Drosophila melanogaster: one gene and its partner. The protein of the gene in region 2 purifies or fractionates together with the protein of the main gene of each other region. This does not show direct contact. Each region holds a gene or a part of one and is shown on either strand. Other genes may lie near its edges. The genes, in order: CG11035 and NdufV3.

Region 1 (12,068 bases), on a different chromosome or scaffold from region 2:
AAAAGCAGATACTGAAAAAAGGTTATTTAGGTTTTTAAAGACCAGAGAAAATAATACATAAGGCGAATAATTAACCCTACCTCGCCAGTTGCAAGTCAAATTATATTTCAGACCGCGACTCACTGATTTACTTATGTCCTAAGATTAATCAAATCTATAAGTGCCAAGGCTGATTTAACAGTTACATAATATAGTGAGAAGCACAAATCGCGTTATAGTTGCTTCGATTTTTATTTTATTGAAAATGTTAGAAACCTTGCACAAGGCCCCGATTAATCTGCAATAATAAAACAACAATGCACTACAAATTATGTATAAACAAAACTTTGTACACTGTCTAATATTTCTAAAAAATGTGCTCAAATAAATATATAAACTATTTTATCAGCTCTTGTTTCAAACTGATTTTGGGTGACTATTCCCCAAAACAAAAATTCGAATTTATCAAAGTACACACACAATTGTAAGGTCAGTAGGTCCTTCGACTTTATTGCGACTTATGCTAAGAGCTTAAGGTAAAAACTGCATGCTGGGAATAAAAGTCAATGCCTTGGAAGTGGGGCTTTTGGGATTCCCCAGATCTTTGGCGATTCCCTGCACGCGGGCCACCACGTCACTGCGCTGGATATCGCCCCGGTCCAACATCCTTTTAAATAGAGTATACAATTGCCTGGCCGCCGAAACCTGTGACAAGGCATGCAGCTCCACCAGCAGATTCTCGGAATATCCCTCGTACTTGCTCAGACTCGCCGCCTTAGCATCGCGCTTTAGCAGATCGTAAACCAGCAGGAAATCCACATAGGGCTTAGTGGGAGGAACTCTCTTTTTGCCTGCGATCGAGGCGGTGCTCCATCGATCCATCGCGGACTCAGAACCGAAAGCGGCCCTTCCGTAGTTATCGTCGTAGAGGCGCAAAAAGTTATCCAGTGACTCCACATCGTTGGTAAAGTCGTAGCGCTCGCTTTGAATATCACGGATCAAAGACAAAGGCAGGGTATCAAAGTCGCTATCATCTTTGATTTCTGCAAATAGATCGTTGCCCTCAAGGGACTTTTCCGGCGGCGCAGTTGGTGCAAAAATTGCCGGACGGTGCGGCACAGTGGGTGGCGATGTGGGTCTCTCGGTTGTGGATGATCTCTTCGGCGTTTCCCACCAACTTGGCGGCTGCCACCAGCCCATGCCACCAGATCCAGACGCACCTGCTCCAATCGGTCGCCTTGTGGTAGTGGTTCTCATCCTCGTGGGCAACGGTGTGGATGGGCGCGGATTTGCAGTGGTGGATTCCATACCTTCTTCATCCGCACTGAAAGGAGGCTCCACTGTTGTGCTTGATAGTGGCTCGTACTGCAGCAGGTCAATATAGTATGCCAAGGCCTGCATGGAGGCGGGCAGATAGCTAGTCAGTAGGTTAGCCGGCGCCACTGGATCCACTAGGTGACCCACTAGAAGCACCACCAGCATTGGACGAACCGTTAGCCCACTGCGCATTTCTCGCTTTTCTTACTTTCTTCTGGCGGGAACGGTTTACTCTGGGGGAATGGAGGCACTCAACTGAAGCGACTCTTCCCAGCAACCAGCGAGCATCTGTAGTTGGCTCTGCATCTGTCTTTGTCTCCGTATCTGTATCTGGTTTTCAAAATGGGTGACAGCGGGTTCGGCTTTAGCTTATACTCTTTCAAAAGGTATTTTAACGCGCAGAAAATATAAAAAAATCTTCAGGGTCAAACGATTACAACTAATCTGTATTGATTTTATATTAATTTGAGTATCATCACAATCTTTTATTTCTATTAATAAATGTTATTAAAGCAATACTTCTCGGTTTTCCTTTTTAAATCATTTGCCCTAATGGAATAGCGTCAATGATTTCTGAGCATACTTATAGCTTCGGTGTTGGGCTTCAACTTTTCACATGCGATTTTTTGGGGGTTTTAGCAAACTCGTTGAGTGGAGAGGCCAGCGACCGCGATCGCCGCTTGTTGCGTAAATTTTGTAACCACCGACTTTTGGCGGAGAATGTTGTTCTTGGAAAGAGTGAAAGATGTTCCGTTGCCAAAAGAACAACCAGTTTGGTCATAAATATGCAAAGTGTGCACAAACACAGGCAGAAAGCAGGCGAACCGCACATAAACCTGATTTTGGGTGCTTTATTCATTTGCAAGGAGTACAAAAGCTCTTACATTAAATTAAATGCATCTTTGGTGCAGTTTAAGAATCACTTGCAAGTGCGACACTTTGAGAGCCATTGATGACCGCTGTCGATCAAAAAAGGAGAGCAAGGGAGCCCGGCAAACAGCTGTTTGAGAAGCATTAACCTGTTGTTGTTGCTCTTGTGTTGCCGTCTAGATGAGTTTTCGCTTTTTTCGAGGAAATTGGAGCACGGTAAACGACTTAGCATAACGGGTTTCCTAAGCAAGCCGTGCCGCTGCTTTTTTAGCACAGACATAACGGCCTCACACTCGCACACCTAAACTTTTTGCACTTCCGCCTGGCCAATTAGCACTTAATAGTGTCATGTGTATTTTTTGACGCGTCAGAACCAAGACACACACACAGGTAACAATTTCACTGGCACACTCCCACACCCAAATTGGCCCCATGCAAATGGTTGCTTTGTTTTCAATTTCGACGTGCTTTCAGACTCAACTCACCGGTTCACTTCGTGCACAAACAAGTTTACAATTAAAATCACTCTCTTCACATGGTTATTGCTTTTAGTTTACTGGAAAAATTGAATTTTTCACGAATTTTCACTGCGTTGCGATACGGTTTGTGTAGGCTAGCTCGATAACTTTGGCCGATGGCGATAGTCTAAACATTTGTCTACGTTTCGATGTGAATGAGAAACAGCTGCTTGTTGATTGCACATGTGCTTATTTTTTTGTTTACCTAAACGCTCCAGAATTTCTGTGCACAACTTTGTAAATTACAGATAAATAATATAGGAAGAATGGCCAGAAGACCAGAGCATTCGGCGCCGCCAGAAATTGTGAGTATACGCCATAACGTACTGCCCATCAAGTGAACCCTCACCAATTTTTTATTCCTTTAGTTCTACAACGATGATGAGGCCAAGAAATATTCCACAAAGTGAGTAGATTAGATAGATATGTATGTATATGTTCGAACTCATAAAAACCAGAACTTTTTAGCACCCGCATCATTGAGATCCAAGTAGAAATGGCCGAACGTGCCTTGGAACTATTGGCGCTCCCGGATGATGATGAGTCTCGGTTGATTTTGGACATCGGCTGTGGTTCTGGACTCTCAGGTAGCGTTCTTGAGGACAGCGAGCACATGTGGATCGGCATAGATATTTCCAAGTCTATGCTCGATATCGCCGTGGAACGCGAGGTTGCTGGGGATGTCATTCTGGGAGACATGGGCGAGGGAATGCCCTTTAAGCCGGGCACTTTCGACGGCGCCATCTCGATCTCTGCCCTCCAATGGCTCTGCAATGCGGACAAGTCGTATCACAATCCCCACAAGCGCCTGCTGAAGTTCTTTACCACCTTGTTTTCCTGTCTGACACGCACCGCGCGAGCTGTCTTTCAATTTTATCCGGAGAACTCCGATCAGATCGAGATGGTAACCTCGCAAGCCATGAAGGCGGGATTCTACGGAGGATTGGTTGTCGACTATCCAAACTCTGCCAAGGCTAAGAAGTACTACCTGGTGCTCATGACTGGAGGATCTGCTGAGCTGCCGCAGGCTTTGGGTTAGTTTTAATAATAATAATTATAGAAAACTAATAATTACTTTCACATCATTTTTCTTTGCTTTTGTAGGCTCACCTGAAGAGGAACGTCGTGTAAACTATATAAAGAAACGTGATGCTTGCCGTGAGGCTCGGGGAAAAGCGCCAAAGAAATCCCGCGATTGGATCCTAGCCAAGAAAGAGCGTCGACGTCGCCAGGGGTTGGAAACCCGTCCTGACACAAAGTACACTGCACGCAAGCGCAGCGGCAAATTTTGAATAAAGTTGTTACATTTAAAATTAGTGACAGACCTAATCTCTAATTGCGGCTTTGTCTATATGTTTTAGATCTTGAGTCAGATTAAGGATATTACAATGCCGTTGGATGTTTATATACATATGTATAAGTCCCGCTGCTATTCATCTTAAGTAAAACGGACACATCTTTAATTCACAAAATTATATTGTTTCGAATTTAATTCATTTAACTTAAGTCTATGTACGCTGAAGACTAGAGAATTCTAAGATTGCTTCCCGACTAGTTTTTGTTCTCGCTCTTCTTGATCGCGTCTGTATCGTTCCTTCGCTTTCTGCTTGGGAGTGTCGTAGGAGCTTTCGGCGAGGAACATCAGGTATACGGCCACTCCGGCAAAGATAAAGGCCAGCAGGACCATGTCAGTCTGGCCTGATATTCTGTTGGTCTCCCTTTGCACTTTTATTCGATCGTATTTGGCCTGGGCGGCTTGTCTCCGGTCAAATGATTTACCATAGTGATTTCGCGACCACTCGTCGAAGTCATAGATGGGCGTACGGCCCGCAGAATCAGATACACGCGATTTCTGAAATCGCGACTTGTAAAACTTAGTCTCCGCATCGTCCTCGACTACGGGTTCCGCTACATCGTGGACATCTTGGGCATATTGGGCGCCTGCCGTATGTACGATTCCCTTGTCGTAAAGTCGACGCAGCCGGTAATTTCCCAGAATCTCATAAGCCTGATTGATCTCCCGAAATTTCTTGGCTGCGTTCTCACTTCCTTGGTTCCTGTCCGGATGATAAAGCATCGAGAGCTTATAGTAAGCTGCCTTGATCTCGTTCTGCGTGCACTGACGCCTGATTCCCAGTGCGTCGTAGTGGCTCATCTGGTGGCGTTGACTGAGGTAGAGGCCACGCAGCAGAAGCAGAGGTCGCCACAACATTGGGCTGTGCTGGTACATCTTGGATGTGTTCTTTCGCCCGCTTCACTTGTTTTGGTTTCGTTATATCACATGAAAATTAAAAACAAATCGAATCAGCTGTTTGAACTTGAACTTGTTCACCCTCGCCATCGTTGTTATCGATAGATCGATAGTATTCTGAACCAATGGTGCAGGTACAGCAAAAAATTAGCTGAAAGAGGAAAAAGAGCTTGTAATTGATTAATTTATAAAAGATAGATTTTGAAAATATTTACAGAATAAATGATTTTCAAAAAAGTTTTTACAGATATATCAGAAAAATATTTGTAATCCCTGGCTTAGTTAAAAATTTAAGACTTTAGTAAAGTTGAAATTCGTCAGCTGTTTGGGCTATGATGAAAAAAGCAAAACGTAAGCTCCACGGTTCCAGTCAGCTGTTTGGCCGATTCGCTGCGAATGGCAACTGTTGCAACTATTTTGGTTTGAGTCTTCTCAATTTTTATTTATATATAGAACAGGGCAGCAGCCGGTTCAATAGTCTCACGCAGCGTGCTTGATTTTCCCGCTAAACGCCTGCAACTGTATCTGTGTGTATTCGAGAGCGATCGAGAAGTTTCTGGTGGTCGAAATTTAGGCCAGAAGGCACAAAACCGAACTGAATAGTGAGTCATCCGTTAACAATAAAAAGTTGCAGCTACAGTTTTTGTCTTTTTATACAGAAAATTGTGTAACCATGACAAACACCATCAACAGCGAGGAAGTGTCCGACGCAGGAAGCTACAAAGATAAGGGCAACGAGGCGTTCAAGGCCTCCCGCTGGGAGGAGGCAGTGGAGCACTATGGCAAAGCCATTAAGGCGGGCTCTAAGCACAAGGAGCTGGCGGTTTTCTATAAGAATCGTGCTGCCGCTTATCTGAAGCTAGGAAAGTATGAAAATGCGGTAGAGGACTGCACTGAATCTTTGAAAGCGGCTCCGGGGGATCCCAAGGCACTGTTCCGTAGGGCTCAGGCGTACGAAGCTCTGGAGAAGTTCGAAGAGGCCTACAAAGACGCAACCGCTTTGTTTAAAGCGGATCCCGGCAACAAAACCGTACAGCCCATGCTCCAGAGGCTTCATGTCGTCGTGGAAGAGCGCTCTGCCCGTAATGCCAAGACATCCACAAAAGTCAAGCAGATGATGGATCTTACTTTTGATTTGGCCACGCCCATCGATAAGCGTCGCGCGGCAGCCAATAACCTAGTAGTTTTGGCCAAAGAGCAGACTGGCGCTGAACTGCTTTACAAGGACCACTGCATCGCCAAAGTGGCCTCACTAACAAAGGTGGAAAAGGATCAGGACATTTATGTGAATATGGTGCATTTGGTGGCTGCTCTTTGCGAAAATAGCGTCGAGCGTACAAAGGGCGTTTTAACTGAACTCGGAGTACCGTGGTTCATGAGGGTTCTCGACCAAAAACACGAGAACTGTGTGTCCACCGCCCAGTTTTGCCTACAAACAATATTGAACGCATTGTCTGGGCTTAAGAACAAACCCGATTCGAAGCCGGAGAAGGAGCTGTGCACTAGGAACAACCGGGAAATTGACACTCTCCTAACATGCCTAGTTTATAGTATCACGGATCGCACGATTTCTGGAGCAGCTAGGGATGGCGTTATTGAGCTTATAACCAGGAATGTCCACTACACAGCTCTAGAATGGGCCGAACGCCTGGTTGAGATCAGGGGACTGTGCCGTCTGCTGGATGTGTGCTCCGAACTGGAGGATTATAAGTACGAGAGTGCAATGGATATCACAGGCTCATCATCCACAATTGCATCCGTTTGTCTGGCCCGGATATATGAGAACATGTACTACGATGAAGCTAAGGCACGGTTCACGGACCAGATCGACGAATACATTAAGGACAAGCTTTTGGCGCCTGATATGGAATCCAAGGTGCGGGTCACCGTTGCGATTACTGCCCTGCTTAACGGTCCATTGGATGTGGGCAATCAGGTTGTGGCCAGAGAAGGTGAGTTCTGTTATTGGATTTAGAAAATGGTACTTAATTAATGGTGAAATTTGTAACAGGAATACTGCAGATGATTCTAGCAATGGCTACGACCGACGATGAGTTGCAGCAGCGAGTATCATGTGAGTGCCTAATCGCCGCTTCCTCTAAAAAGGACAAGGCCAAGGCTCTTTGTGAGCAGGGAGTAGATATTTTAAAGCGGCTCTACCACTCCAAGAACGATGGTATTAGAGTACGCGCCCTGGTGGGTCTTTGCAAGCTGGGTAGCTACGGCGGTCAGGACGCGGCCATCCGACCATTTGGCGATGGAGCTGCCCTTAAGCTGGCGGAGGCATGCCGTCGGTTTTTGATCAAACCTGGAAAGGATAAGGATATCCGTCGTTGGGCTGCCGATGGTCTGGCTTATTTAACACTGGATGCTGAATGTAAGGAGAAGCTCATTGAGGATAAGGCTTCCATTCACGCTTTAATGGATTTGGCCCGCGGAGGAAATCAGTCCTGTCTCTATGGTGTGGTCACTACTTTTGTGAATCTGTGCAATGCGTATGAGAAGCAGGAGATGTTGCCTGAGATGATAGAACTTGCCAAGTTTGCTAAGCAACACATACCGGAGGAGCACGAGCTGGACGACGTAGATTTCATCAATAAGCGTATTACTGTGCTGGCAAATGAGGGCATAACAACTGCTCTTTGTGCACTGGCGAAAACTGAAAGCCACAATTCACAGGAGCTGATTGCCAGGGTTTTGAATGCGGTTTGTGGACTGAAAGAGTTGCGAGGAAAAGTGGTTCAAGAAGGCGGCGTTAAGGCGCTGCTTCGTATGGCGCTTGAGGGAACTGAGAAAGGAAAACGCCATGCTACCCAGGCGTTGGCTAGGATTGGCATAACCATTAATCCGGAAGTATCTTTCAGTGGCCAGCGATCGCTTGATGTAATCCGTCCTTTGTTGAACCTTTTGCAACAGGACTGCACAGCGCTGGAGAATTTTGAGTCGCTAATGGCACTCACCAATCTAGCCAGCATGAACGAGAGCGTGCGCCAGAGGATTATCAAGGAGCAGGGGGTCTCCAAGATAGAGTATTATCTGATGGAGGACCATCTGTACCTGACTCGTGCAGCTGCCCAGTGTCTGTGTAATCTGGTTATGAGTGAGGATGTCATTAAAATGTTCGAGGGCAATAACGACCGAGTGAAGTTCTTGGCGCTTCTCTGCGAGGATGAGGACGAGGAGACCGCAACAGCTTGTGCCGGAGCTCTGGCCATTATTACTTCAGTGTCTGTCAAGTGCTGTGAGAAGATCTTGGCCATCGCCAGCTGGCTGGACATTCTGCACACTCTGATCGCCAATCCCAGTCCGGCGGTCCAGCATCGAGGCATTGTGATTATTCTAAACATGATCAATGCTGGAGAGGAGATCGCCAAAAAGCTGTTTGAAACGGACATTATGGAACTGCTGAGCGGTTTGGGGCAGCTGCCCGATGACACGCGTGCCAAGGCCCGAGAGGTGGCCACCCAGTGCCTGGCGGCGGCGGAGCGTTATAGGATCATCGAGCGGTCCGACAACGCGGAAATCCCCGATGTGTTTGCCGAAAATTCGAAAATATCTGAGATTATCGATGATTAAGCGAAATTCGTTTGTAGTGCCTTTTGTTTTTCCTCCATTTCATCTTCTTTACTTTACTCACAGTGTCATCGCGAAATTTAACTTATTTTTCAAAATATCAAATGTACTTAACTGTTTTATAAATATTGTTCGAATTTATTTCGTTTTTAAAGGTAGTTTGTTTTATTCCTTAGTGGGTAATATAATATATTATTTAGTTATTTCATGAATACGCGATTTTTTAATTTAACTAATTTAATACAGACCAAGCCTAATCCAAGCCTAATTGCTGCGGCCTAATGTGATTTGGATTGTAATATGGATGGCCACTAGGATGGCCTAGTGTTTTCCCACCGACTCCATTTTCCCCGGTGCACTGCCTCGGTACGTTTTCTATTCATTGCCACACATTAGTCGCCAGCTCGAGGTAGCTGACTTCCTCTAATGCAGAAGATGCTTCTGATGCGGCAGTGTTGCAGTGTCAGGTAGCCGGGAATTCCGAGCCGAGCATCTCTTCCAGCTGATTGCTCAATCTCAATGAAGTGTGATTAAATAAATAATAGTTGCTTTAATTTAGTTTGGCTCAGCGCAGTGGGAAATGGCCGAGGGTTTCGGTTGCTATGATTCGGTTGCCATGACTTAACGGCATTTATTCCGAAATCCATCCCGCTTTTTGTCTTTGGCCATTTGGCATTCCTTTTCCCGCGATTATTTCGCATTTTCCTCTTCTCCTTAAACCATATACTGTGCTCAATTTGACCAATATAAATAACGTGGTTAGAAGGTAAAGTAATGAGGAAGATGAATTCTTCAGGACCCTTATATGCTAAAGGGATATAAGCTGAAATAAAATATGTTGATGTAAGACCCCAGAAGGAAACAAACTAATGCTTGGCAATATATTTAAAAAATTGGTGTATAAAAACAATTAAGTTAGGGGAATAAACATTTTAAAAAATGGTAAAAAAAGACATTTTAAAAAATGTAAAAAGGATATTTCCGTGGAAATATATTAGCAAATTGAAATTCATTTCTATAGCGTTGTTTAATATTGAAAATCGAGTTTTTCGGCTACTTCATAATAAATGTACACTCTTCTTCCATTTGAGAAATCGATAATAAAGAAAATAATCCCAGACTTAATCCCCAAGAAGCAGAAACTTTCGGTTTCGGTTGTATTTACTTTTTCGGCATTGGTCAAAATGAGACATTTTGTCCTAATTACACAGACGACAGACACAGACCGTGTGGCAAAGAGTTTGCTAAGACTGTGGATCGGAAGCACTGGCTTAGAGCTTCATCGGCTTGATTGGCGACGTACATATGTGCATCTTCACTTTCCATTTAATCTCGGTTTGGTGGCGCGGTGCGGTTCAGTGTGGTGCAACACAGTTGGTGCCGCCCAATTTGTCCCGTGGAAATCGAAAGCCGATTTTCATGTCAATATTTTTGTTTAATAAACTGGCCGACTCGAGTCGTCTGCGCATGCGGAAAATATGCAAATTACCCCCCCCCAGGCGATGCGGCGCAACAAATGTGCACTGGGAGAAAAATAATAAACTTTTCAGTTAACTAATGCTGGATTTGAAATTGTCTCGTTTCAAAATAGAAAACTAACTAATACCCAGTAGATTCCTTGCTTTATATTAATTTAGCATATATAAAAATGGAACTAATTCTGTTTTCTTAGTGTATTGATGCTGGTGCAGGGGCACAAAAACACAGATTCAGATACACCGCCAGCGACGTTGCGTTGACCGATTGAACGAAAGTGCAGGCAGCAAAAGATACGGGATGAAAGATGAAAGTTGACCGCAAGTAGAAAGACGATGCTGAAAGTGCAAGTGGCTAGGCGGATCGATCGAATCGATGTAAGACGGTTACGGTTATGGAGACATCAGATTGGTGCAGGTGTCAACTCAGGTTGCACGAGTGGTTTCCCTTTTGGAAGATTCCTCTTCCCAACTGGCAGAACTTTGAGTTGAAAGATGAGTGTGTGTGTGAATTGAATGTGAATATTGTGACAATGTAAAGTGTGAAGTGTTCCCCTGCCAGACATTTCTCAATGGTTTTTTTTTTTCATTTCGCCAGAACTTGTGGACAATTTGCCAGAGCACCGCCAAACAAAACTCGTACAGCGATTTTTCTTCGCATTGGCCATGGTAATTAATCAAACTGCTGCCATCTGCCGAAAAGCGTTTGAATCGATGGCTAAACGCAAAAAATTCGTTGAAAGCCGAAAATGTGCATCGATCGCTCTTAAAACTGGCAACCACCGACCGAACAATTCAAAGAGCCAGGACAAGTTGTGGTGATAGCCAGAAAGTTGGCTCAAAATTTATATCAATCGAATGTCGTTGGCCGGAATCGTTAAGATACTCGTTTGATCCTCAAATAGTTGAATATGCTAAGCATCTCAGACTGGAGGAAGAATCCAGGCAAAACCAACAAAATCATCGAATGCCATTAGTAACATGGTCAGAAACTTGCAACAATGTTGTCAGCCAGCCATGAAAGTGCACTGGAAAAAAAATCGCTTGGCAAAAGATATAAAAATTACTACCTACTACATTTACAATAAATGAAACACATTGGCAAGCTATAAAAGCACATTACGCCTTTCAATTTAATTTATAATAAAATGCATCTAATTTAGTTTAAGGCAAGCAATTCATGGATAATTAACAACAGAAGTTTCATCTTAATTATTATTTTTTTTTTAATTTGGCATGCTCCTTTTATCCTCTACAAAAATGGTGTCCGAGTGCAAATGTTTATGTTATGACAATTGTCGACCGACCACACAAGAAAGGGGGCTGCAACTCGAAGATCCCGAAATGGGCGGTGAGGGTCCAGTGCCGGCCAAACTGTGCACTGCCCACTGTCATTAAGGTTGCGCCACTTGCTTTCATTTCGCTGAGCTTGCAGTTTTGCTTCAGATTCCCACCCATCCACTCCACTGTCCTCTCACCTTGCCTTAATTGTTTTGTTGCACTCGGCGGGCGCGAGAGGCAACTTTCTATTTGCGCATTTGCACAGGGACTGTAAACCACGGTAAATGCTTGCTTTTTATTGAAGATGCGACTTGCGACAGCGGCTGGAAACGATAATATTTATTTTCCTCCTCATTTCAAATGGGTATTTTCAAATGTTGATGTATCACAGCTGCCAGCCTTGTGTCGCTGAGAACCCACTAACCTGAATATTGAATTCACCATTTTATTTTCGTTTAATAATAACATTCTGGGTATACAAGCATATTAAAAAAGTGGCTTGGTATTAAAACCATACCAGCATTAAAATTAAATTGGTATTATAATTAGAAATTAATGATACCTAATCAAGATACTTCTGCATTGGTTTCACTTTAAATTTTACAACACAATAGGAGTTGTAGTTGGGGTGAATAAACTTATAAGAATAAGCTCTTTTCGATTAATAATTATATTTTGCATATTATTTTGAAAGCTTCTAAAAGTATAATGAAAATTATCCAAAAGGTTAAGTTATAAAAACCCAAGTTATCTCAATAAAACTCGATGAAATCTGTGAAAGCTTTTTGTTTCCAGTCGCAAATA
Region 2 (10,504 bases):
AAGGGGGCGGGACTCGCGGGGAAGGCGGAGGGGGGCTATGTATTCCAACGCATTTAAAATAAAAATCATTATTGATATACCTCGACCGCCCGGAACTTCGCAATCCCTTCGAGAGTTGGGCGAGCATTTTACAATTAATTGTTTTCTTTAGTTTAGTTTATATTACATAGATACATCTGCCGTTTGTATTTATGTATGTCCGTCCGCTGTTTATAATATACGAGATATATATATATAAAAATTTATATAAATATATATATATATATATTCATATATATAAATATATAATTATATATACGTGTATATATATTAATATATATTTATATACATACATATATATATATACATATAAATATATATAAATTTACGCTACACTAGCTATTACAACTAAGTTAATGGTTTTACAAAAAAAAACTTGTATCTGTTTTATTACAACTACAGCATAAAACGAATTATCGAGTGTCCGCTTTGTTTGTTTGTGTATGTGTATGGGGGAGGGGGATGGGGATGGGGAGGGGAGTGCTGTGTGTGAATTATTTTTTACAATGTGATACGTGCTCTTCCTGTGGCCACCATGGACCAGGCCTCCACGCTCACTTAGCGTTGACCAGCTCGACAATGTTGCTGCTGATCGAGAGGCGATCGACGATATCCAGCAGGATCTCCACATCCTTGATGGTGGCAACCGTCTCGGGGGCACCCAACAGATTCACATGCTTGCCATCGATGTTCGCATAGAAGCATTTGTTCTTGAAGATGACGGCCCGATCGTAGGGCACGCGGCACGTGTTCTTGTCAACGACAACGCGCCGGAAGAGCACGCACGACGGCTGATACTTGTGACGGTCCTCCTCGGGTATGTTGTACGCCTTGAGATCGCCCGTAAAGATGGTCATTGTCTGGCGGGGCATCATCGACGGCGAGACCTTGTACAGCGTCACCTTGCTGGTCCATTTGCCCGATGGCACCTTTATCCGTGACGCCACATTGGCCAGCTTGACCAGCGCCAGCTCCAGGCAGGTGCGCTGCTGGCGCGCCATCTTCGACAACATATCCTTGGCCGTGCTAACCACATGCCACGTCTCATAGCAGGTGATCTTCTTTACCACACGACCATCCTCCTCGTGAAACGTTGTGGTCTCGGGCGGAAAATATTTGGGACTGTTGGCATCGTCGATGCCACCGCCGGTGGGCAATATTTCGCGCAGCGTTGTCAGCTCCTTGTCGCGCTGCTGCTCCTGCTGGTTCTCCTTGCTGCGACGCTGCGGAACCAGGCTCGGCTTCTTGAACACCGGCTGGACATCGTTATCGGCCAGCAGATTGCTCAGCCTCCGGTCCGCAATCAGCGCATTCACCGACGACGCTGTCGTGGACAGCACATTGCGCCGATTGTTGTTCAACTTGTTAACCGCTACCGCTGCTGGAGCGGACGTCATCGCCGCCGACGCCGCCACCGACGTCGTTGTCGTCACCTGCTTGGACTTGGCATTGGCATTGACATTGGCATTCTTACGGGTAACAATAGATACCGGTATATTATCGATATCAAAATCGAGATCTGGATCCGGATCGTCCTCTTCGGTGTCGACGTCCGTGGGACAGAGCTCCTTGCCCATGCTCATCAGCGGTTTCATCGACTGCGTCTTCTTGCCCATTTCCGCGTTGAGTATCCTGGGCCGGGGCTTCGGCAGTTGACTCTGGATATGCACTGGTCCCATTTTGGTATTGACACTACTGTTGCTGGCCAAGATCTTGATGCGCTTGGCTGGATTCCCCGCCGTCGTATTGTTGTGGTTAACAGCAGCGGACAGGGATTTCTGCGTGCTGTTAACAGTGATGGATTTCTTATCGCCGGCAACCGAATTGCCGGTTCCGATATTCTTGGTACGGGGCCTGCCCAAAGCGACCTTTTTGATTGAATTACCGCCAGCTGCGGAAGCGGCCATAGCAGTGTGTGATCTGGAAATGAGCACATCGTCCTGATTGATAATGTCATCGATGTTTACAATGGTGAATGTGGGCATATCCTCCGATTCGGAATCGTTTTTCCCATCATTGCTAGCGTCACCCTTGCCGCCGCCACCACCACCGCCAGTTGAGCGCGTTGCGGGCGTGGATCTAATCGAATTCGAATTGGAGTTCGACAATGAGTTTATCTTGTTACTGCTGCCGCGTCGCTGTGGCAGCATCCTGGCTGACGCACTGCCCGCCTGGCCCACCTTCGGTCGCGCCGTGATCGCTCTCTGCGCGCTCATCTTGCTGTTGGCACCATTCACCACAGGCGGTCCGCTGCGCTGCTGGGAGCCGCCCGAAATGATTATGCGCTTGCGTGGCACAGGACTCTCGCTTTCGCTAGTGTCCATTTTGCGTTTGGCCGCGGCGGACGCAGTGCCCTTGCCCGTGCTCGATCCGTCTGTCATGCTGGCATTGCTTTTGGCCATATTCGTGGCCATTGTGCGACGCATCTGCTGCAGGCTAGTGGACGCCGTGCGGCCGCTGCTCGAATTTATGGATATCTTGGATGTGGCGCCGCTGCTGGAAGTCAGATTGCCAGCGCTGGTCGCGCTGGCATTGGCATTGACATTTTTCGCCTTCGGTGGACGTCCACGTCCACGCTTGACGGGCGGCTGTTTGCGTCGCAGCTCCTGCTCGTACTCGGCCTCGCTTATATCGTCGTCGTCGTCATCGTCGGACTTGTGCAGTTGCGGATTGAAGGCGGCGTCCGCCACTTCGTCATCATCGTCCTCTTCGAATTCCAGCATATCGCTGATTTCATCTCGCGGCAGGCGGACCAAGCGTCTGTCGTTCGTGCCGATGGACTGGCCACCGCCATCGGCCAGGGCGGCCAAGTACTTTGGCGTCACTATATCCTCGCTGACATACTTTGGATTCGGTTTGATCGATCGGCGCGAACGACTGGCCGCAATGGTGGGCGGCGGACTCGTCGATACGCGCTTGCTGGACACCACCTTGAACATCTTCGGCGTCTCCGCTTGAACGGATCGCCGTCGCTGTGGCTTGTCCAGACCCAACTTGTGAGGACTAATGGACAGGGGATGATTGCTGCCTCCCAGCAGCAAATTGCCGCGTCGTTTGGCCAGATTGCTGGATGGCTGCTCCTTGACGGCCGACTCCCTGCTGAGCTTGGAACGCGCCGATGGCGACGATGGTGATGGCGATAACGCTGCTGGCTTCACAGCGTGCCTGGTGCGCGGAGTGGGCTTCTCCTGGACGACGGATTGACGTCTTGTGGTGCGGGTCCCACGCAGCTCCTGCTGCACCTCCCGTTGGTTATCTCTCCCTTTCAGTTTGCCGGCTGGCGTGTCTTTACGCGAAGACGACTCGTCGTACAGATTCCTCACGTAGACGATGCAATTACGTGTCTTCTTAACGCTTTCAGCTGCCTCTTTTTTTCCAGCCCGCATCTTTCATGGGTAGCTGGAATCGTGGGCAAGAGGCGGAATGGATTATTAGTTACATTGTGACCATATAGGATGAGTACAGTGGGTTGTGGCTAGCGGGATCGTGTTATTCACCCATTTGCAATTAGTAGTATTTTTCAAATATCGCATTGAAATTGGAAATCCAAGCAAGCAGCTTTATTACAGAGTAACAACATTGCACACGTATCGCGTAGCCAGGGCCCACTGTATTCCACTGATATGTGTGTAATGTGCAGCTAGCTGCTCTGGCAACTCTAGCGCCTATTTTCGTCACTTTTTCGCGCGCCAGTCGTTGCACACACATATGCACACGCAGGCACACACATAGAGCTACATGCACACAAACACACAAACACGTAGGAATATGGAGCGATGAGAATATCGTTTGATTGAAATTCAGCAACTTACCTTCGAAAATCGCTTAACATTTTCTCGGGCGTTAAGCTTGCCTTCAATTTAATCGCACTTTTCGCTGGCACTTTCACAAGCCCGCGCTCTCTCTTTTGCTTATTGTTCTCTCGCTGCAACTCTGCTGCTGCTGCTGCTGCGGATGGTCACTCTTAATTGGCAACTGTTTTTTATATTTTCTTCCTTTTTGGGCTTTGGGCAAGAGATTGCCTATTGCTATTTAGAATGTTTTCAAAACGCCAGAATGCACAACACAATAACAACAACCGAACTGAACAACTGAGCTGCTGCACAGAAAGCAGAACAGCAAAAGTGGTGGCAATAGTGGCGGAACAAGAAAAAAAATTATAAATGCGAGCGAACGAGAAAGAGAGAGAGGAGCAGCGCAACCAGGTGGCAACTCGCTCTGGCGATGATTTTCTACCCAACTGTACCACACACACACATGCACAGCGACCCTGTGTGTTTTTGCTTTTCTCGAGGGCTTTTTTCGGCGTTTTGCTGGCGAAATTCCACGCGATCGGCGACACAAATCGTTTGGCTCGACTGTAACTGCAACAGCTGAATGTGCGCACCAATTTGTATTTGCTTTCTGACACGATTAACACGATTATGATTGGCGCGCTCGAAATGGTTCGCTGTCGATGGAAAAATGGAACTGGAAAGAGAGGGGAGGATTGCTGTAATACGGTGTTGTATAGCGTCCGTCGGTCGGTCGGCCAGTGCTGCAGAATGTCTGCCAGCCCAACTGCCCCATCGGCCACAGACACCGATTAACACTGATTTTTCTAATTCTCAACTGTCCTCTTTAAATGGCATTTATTTTATTTAACATCAACAATTGGGCTACATCTACTTGAGGGCCGAGGGCTGTGGGCAGCGGTACTTGGCCATTTCCACCTCCGCCTCGGCGTAGCTAAAGCGATTGAAGCTGTAGTATTCAGGCACCTTGTAGCCACCGGTGGCGGAGGCACCTGGTCCAACGGGTCCGCTGCTGGGCTTCACGCAATTGCTGGTCAGTCCCACAACCGATGGCGAGGATGCGCCGCCCGATGGCGAGGATCCGGCTCCAGCTGGAGATCCTGAGGCGCTGGGTCTACCGCCGCCGGAAACGGGTCCGCCCTTGATCTGGCTGTAGCAGCGGCTGAGGGCTGGGCGCAGGGCACGTGAGGGCGAGAACATGTTGGACTTAATGGCTGGCTAGCTTGCAGCGTTTAATTCGCAAAAATAATTCACGTAATCACGTATCAACAAAGTGGACGTGTTGGGTAACGCGGAAAGTGCGCTTATTGGCGAGGAATATGGCAAGGCAACGTACGAGCGCGAAGCTGCCACCTGGCCGCAAAAATATGCATAAAATAAAAGTGGTCATATTTTAAATTGGTTTAAATGTTTAAATTATTATTTACACAGTTAAAGATGCTGGCAGTGCTGGTATAGTTATATATTATATAATTTAAGCCTGACGTTAGGGCTAGAATAGATAAATTGATTTTTAAACAGTGCCATCCTTTGACTAAGCTAGTTTTAGTATTTAACTAAGAGCTATATAAACAACTATTTTCTCGTCTTAAACTTGGGCTGCGCCTTGCCGTAGTGCTGATCGATGTGTGAAACGGGCGCGCGCCTCTTGTCGTTGCGCTCCTTTTGCGATTTTGTTCGGCATTTGACGCTGGCGGCGCCCGTTTGATTTTTGCCCAACTGATGGAACTTCTTGCGCTCCTCGCGAATATTCTTCAGCCGCTGGCGTTCGTCCTTCAGCTCCTTGTAGTTTTTGGAGGCCTTCTTCAGCGGCTTGGCGCCCAGCTTGATCAGCTGAAACATTTCCATTTTGCTCTTGTTTTTGATCACACGCTGGTTTTTGATCGCAAAATTGAGCACCTCGTGGCGCGCCTTCTTGATATCGAATTCGGGATTCAGTTCCATGCCGCCCTCCTTGGTTTTGTGCGATTTTTGGACGCCGTCGTCCTGCTTTTTTGTTCCACTTTTCGATTGGAAGTGCGATTCGTGGAAGACGTGTGCCTGAAATTCGGTGTTCTCCTGCTTCTTTTGCAGCGCCAACGCTGCACGCGTGGGCACCGGCTTAAAATCGGCGCTGACGTTCATTATGCTTTCAGTTTTCTGTGTTTATTTGCAGCAATAATAGTGAAATCAAAATATTGAATGCACATGTACAGTGCCAAAATGTACTAATTCCCACGTAACGCCTCGGTCCATCTGGCAGCGCCGTTTTTCATGAATGTTGCTTGTAAGGTGGCGCTTTTTAATGTCCTTATTACGTCACAAAATCTTTTTATTTCAAAATATGTTTCAGAAAAACTGCTCAGCTTGCAGTCTATTGCTATTTATTAAGTATACAATTTCTTTACATTAATTTGTAAAATTTCGTACTTATTAAAAGCATAATAAGATCTTATTGAATGGTCAACTATTATAATATTTAAAATAAATTTTTTGTATATTAAAAGACATTGATTTTACTCATTTTGCTTTTGCTTTCCGAGTCCGAATCCTCCGACCAAAAATCATCTGGCAAACAAATCGCTTTCCAGCCCATTGCGTCCGCATCGTCAGAGATGGAATTCTGCTCATCCAGCTGGTTGAAGGGACTGGCATTCAAAGGACCCGACCAACTCGCGACGCGACTAACTGGCGGTGGAATAAGGCAATCGGAATTCTCCTTCCGATACGTTCGAGCCTTCAGTTTGTTTACTGCGTTGGGCAATTGCGGTACAGGCACCTCCTCCTCGTCGTCGTCGGGCGATGAAGTGGAATTGGGCACATTTACGATGTAGCTAATGGGATCCAGGCGGATCCCTATGGTTTTCTGGGAGGATCGGCTGTGTGGTCGCGTCAGATGTGGATTGCCCTCTCGACGTCGCCGTGCGTTTCTATTTTCCGTCTTGAGCCTCCCGTTTGCCGACCTGCCGCCATTGATGACGCTCCTCGTGGATATATTCACCGGGGGCGACTTTCGCCTGGCGGCCAGCTTCTTCGGATGCGGAATCCTGTAGCGACCATTCGCGTAGTCATTGCGCGGACTGACGAAAATTCCAGCCAAATATTTAAGCATTTTCCAAGAAAGTTTACTAAGAATTTAAAATAATTGCAAGCGACGCATAAGCTCCGATTTTATTTCTGACGATCGAGAAATGTGACGGAAAAATGATTTGTTACAAAATTTGGAGAAGAAATTTTGGAAATGATTAATTTTATGGTTTTCAAATATAGCATAGTATAGCTAGGACACAAACCCTTGTAATTCCGCATAGAAAATAGTTGGGATGATCCGGCAACGCAGTGCGGATCGAAATAAAAAAGAAAACAATGCGCTCGCAAGAAAATTGAAGCAACAACAAATAGCCGATAAATCAGAGCCAAGGGACAAGCGCAAAATGGCTAGGAACACGGGCAGCTCCTCGGGCTCCACGCCCGCTGCATCCTCATCCGGATCGAGCGCAGCAGCAGCAGCGGCGGCGGCAGCGGCAGCAGCAGCGGCATCCAATGCCAAACAGAAGCAGCGCAGCCCGCGTTTCAGTTTATCCTCGAATTTGATCCTGGACAAATGGAAAACGATGATTGGTTGCGTTTGCCTGGCGATAGCCTCGTACTTCGGCTATCTGGGCTACCTGGAGACGCGCGTTAACACGCCCTTCGATCACCAGAAGATGGTGGTGCATGCCGGCCTGGAGCAACCGGATCGCTACTGGGGCTCCTACCGTCCGTTGACGTACTTCGGCATGAAGACCAGGGATCCGCACTCGCTGGTCATGGGCCTGATGTGGTATACGCCCAGTAATCTGGGCCCCGGTGGCCAGGGCATTCGACACTGGTGCGAGCAGGGCGATAAACTGGACTCGTACGGCTGGACGCATCACGATGGCCGCAGTTTTGGCGTTCAAGAGATCCAGGATCTGCCCTTCGAGCTGAAGACCTCGTTCGTTAAGTATCCAGAGGGCAAGCAGTACGGCGGCGATTGGACTGCCAGGATATCGGTGAGGAATACGACAAGGGCGTGGGACAAGAGCATCTCGCTAATCTGGTATGTGGCATTGGATGAGCGCACCAATGGACACATTAAGTACGTGTCGGACGACAAGAGTCCGGAGCCGGGCGTCTATGGTGAGGCGCAGGGCCTGGGCGAGTTCCAAGTGCGTTTCCATGCCGTCAAGGGCAAGATACTGCATAAATCCTATCTCAGCACGGTGGCACCGTCGCTGGCCAAGCTCAAGGATACGCTCTTCTCGCACTTCCGCGCCTTCGCCGACAAGCGTGGCAATCGCTTCATCGGCCTGCCCGGCGAGATAGTCTCGCAGAATGGCCTGCCATCCTCCAATCCGGAGCCCAATTTCATAGCCATACAGATAACGGCGGAGGTGGACTTCACGCTGGACATTACGTACCAGTCGACGTCGGGCTTTTCGCTTGGCGAGTCGATACCCAAGCCGCCGACGGGACGAGCCTATCAGGATTCGCTTCAGGCGAAAATAGCACAATTTGAGCAGCGTTTCGAGGATCGTTTCCAGCTGAAGCAGAAGGGTCACTCGCCGGAGGAGGTGCGATTTGCGCGCAACGCATTGAGCAATCTGCTTGGCGGCATTGGTTACTTCTATGGCTCCAGTCGCGTGCAATCGGTGTACACAAAGAATCCGGTGCCCTACTGGAAGGCTCCACTGTACACGGCCGTGCCGTCGCGTAGCTTCTTTCCCAGGGGCTTCCTTTGGGACGAGGGCTTCCACGGCCTGTTGATCAGTGCGTGGGACATCGATATCGAGCTGGATATCATATGCCATTGGTTCGATTTGCTCAACGTGGAGGGCTGGATACCCAGGGAGCAAATCCTGGGCGTTGAGGCGCTGGCCAAGGTGCCCGAGGAGTTTGTCACGCAACGGAATAGCAACGCCAATCCGCCGACGTTCTTTCTTACGCTCAAGAAACTGCTGACCAGCCACCGGGCGGAGTTGTCGCAAAACGGCAGATTGGCCACGCTGGAGCGGCTCTATCCGCGTGTCCAGGCCTGGTTCAATTGGTTCAACACCACGCAGAGGGGTAAGTCACTTAGCCACCTGCCATCGCTTTCTATGTGGCGTCTACTAACTAACTGCTCCATTCTAGGTGAAGTGTTGGGCACATATTTGTGGCGCGGCAGGAACGCGACCACCACGCGCGAATTGAACCCCAAGAGTCTGTCCTCCGGCCTGGACGATTATCCGCGCGCCTCGCATCCCACGGACAAGGAGCGTCACCTGGACCTGCGCTGCTGGATTGCCCTGGCCGCCGGTGTGATGGCCGAACTGTCCACGCTGCTGGGCAAGGACGATGCCAAGTACTACGAGACGGCATCGTACTTAACGGACAATGTGCGTCTGAATCGCCTCCATTTGGCGCCGTACAGCGAACAGTACGCCGACTGGGGCCTGCACACGGACCAGGTGAAGCTGAAGCGTCCGCCGTCCATGGCGCCGCAGCAGCAGCAGCGGCATCATCACCAGCACTACCAGCTGCCCGAGATGCAACGTGTGACCGGCGAGTTGCCGACCTATCAGTTCGTGGACAGCGCCTTTGGCTATGTTAGCCTGTTTCCGTTGCTGCTCGAGCAACTGGATCACGATTCGCCGTATCTGACCAAGTTGCTAAACGATCTGCGTGATCCGGAACAGTTGTGGACCAACTACGGTCTGCGTTCGCTTTCGAAGAGATCGCCATTGTATATGCAACGCAATACGGAACACGATCCGCCGTATTGGCGTGGACCCATCTGGATTAATATCAACTATTTGGCGGCCAAGGCGCTGCATCACTATGGCAAGATCGATGGACCGAATGCGGCGTTGGCGCGACAAATTTACGCCGAACTGCGCGACAATCTGGTGGGCAACATCCTGCGGCAGTACAAGCGCAGCGGCTACTTGTGGGAGCAGTACGATGACACCAGCGGCGAGGGCAAGGGCTGCAATCCGTTCACCGGCTGGACGGCCACCGTTGTCCTCCTGATGGCCGAGCAATTCTAGATCTCGCCTACACGGTTTTCAGCCTGCCAAAACTGCTGTGAGTTCCTCAACGAACGACCCTGTCCCCGCATTCCTGGCGAAGATCAATGCGTTTTTGTGTGTGTTTGGAATAGCTGGGTGCTTCAATTGCAAACGTTTGGAGTACCAAATAAATTTTACTTAAATTGTAGCCAAAACTATCATCATCTATGGAGATTCGTTTGTTAGTTTTCGTGTGTGTGTCCGTGTTGTTTGTGACACACGATATACCAAAGATTAATATAATGACTCGCTGTGGTTTTAAGTAGTTTGTGCTAAGATATTTGATTGCCAGTTGGGCGTGTAGCTTGTAAGCTTAGAGAACAAACCCAGCTATTCCTAGTTAGCAATTTCACGCTCCAGTTTGCTATACGCGATACTTAAGATACTTGGAGTGCAAAGTAATCATTTCTCCTAGCGTTAAATAGACGAATTTTAAAATTGACAACCGATGTGTAGTTTTATTTAAGCTACACCAACTTGTTTCCGCTTCAAGTGCAATGCAAGTTGAGTTCAGTTTTTCCACTTTTATTCCATAGATCTATTGAAAATTCCTGTCGCTGGGAATACTCCGGTGTTATAGCTATATTATACACGATTTTCTTAACTATATAGTACACACAC

Evidence for each region.
Region 1: the proteins of NdufV3 (region 2) and CG11035 purify together in Drosophila melanogaster (affinity purification with mass spectrometry, with the first as the bait; one large-scale study listed by BioGRID). This does not show direct contact.

The regions. Positions count from the first base shown.
Region 1 is NT_033777.3:8,027,994-8,040,061, forward strand, and holds CG11035 (uncharacterized protein), read right to left. Parts: upstream 5,017-12,068; 5' UTR 4,915-5,016; coding exon 4,219-4,914; 3' UTR 3,977-4,218; coding exon of another isoform or gene 3,789-3,976; 3' UTR 3,719-3,788; coding exon of another isoform or gene 3,153-3,718; 3' UTR 3,137-3,152; downstream 1-3,136. Other genes in the region: ImpE3 (Ecdysone-inducible gene E3), read right to left, coding at 511-1,488; CG10903 (uncharacterized protein), read left to right, coding at 2,951-2,989, 3,053-3,090, 3,153-3,718, 3,789-3,976; unc-45 (uncoordinated 45), read left to right, coding at 5,609-6,887, 6,947-8,511.
Region 2 is NC_004354.4:11,344,625-11,355,128, reverse strand, and holds NdufV3 (NADH:ubiquinone oxidoreductase subunit V3), read right to left. Parts: upstream 5,132-10,504; 5' UTR 5,034-5,131; coding exon 4,704-5,033; 3' UTR 4,655-4,703; downstream 1-4,654. Other genes in the region: CG1737 (uncharacterized protein), read right to left, coding at 594-3,425; CG1738 (uncharacterized protein), read right to left, coding at 5,409-5,957; CG11756 (uncharacterized protein), read right to left, coding at 6,313-6,924; GCS1 (glucosidase 1), read left to right, coding at 7,247-8,900, 8,967-9,862.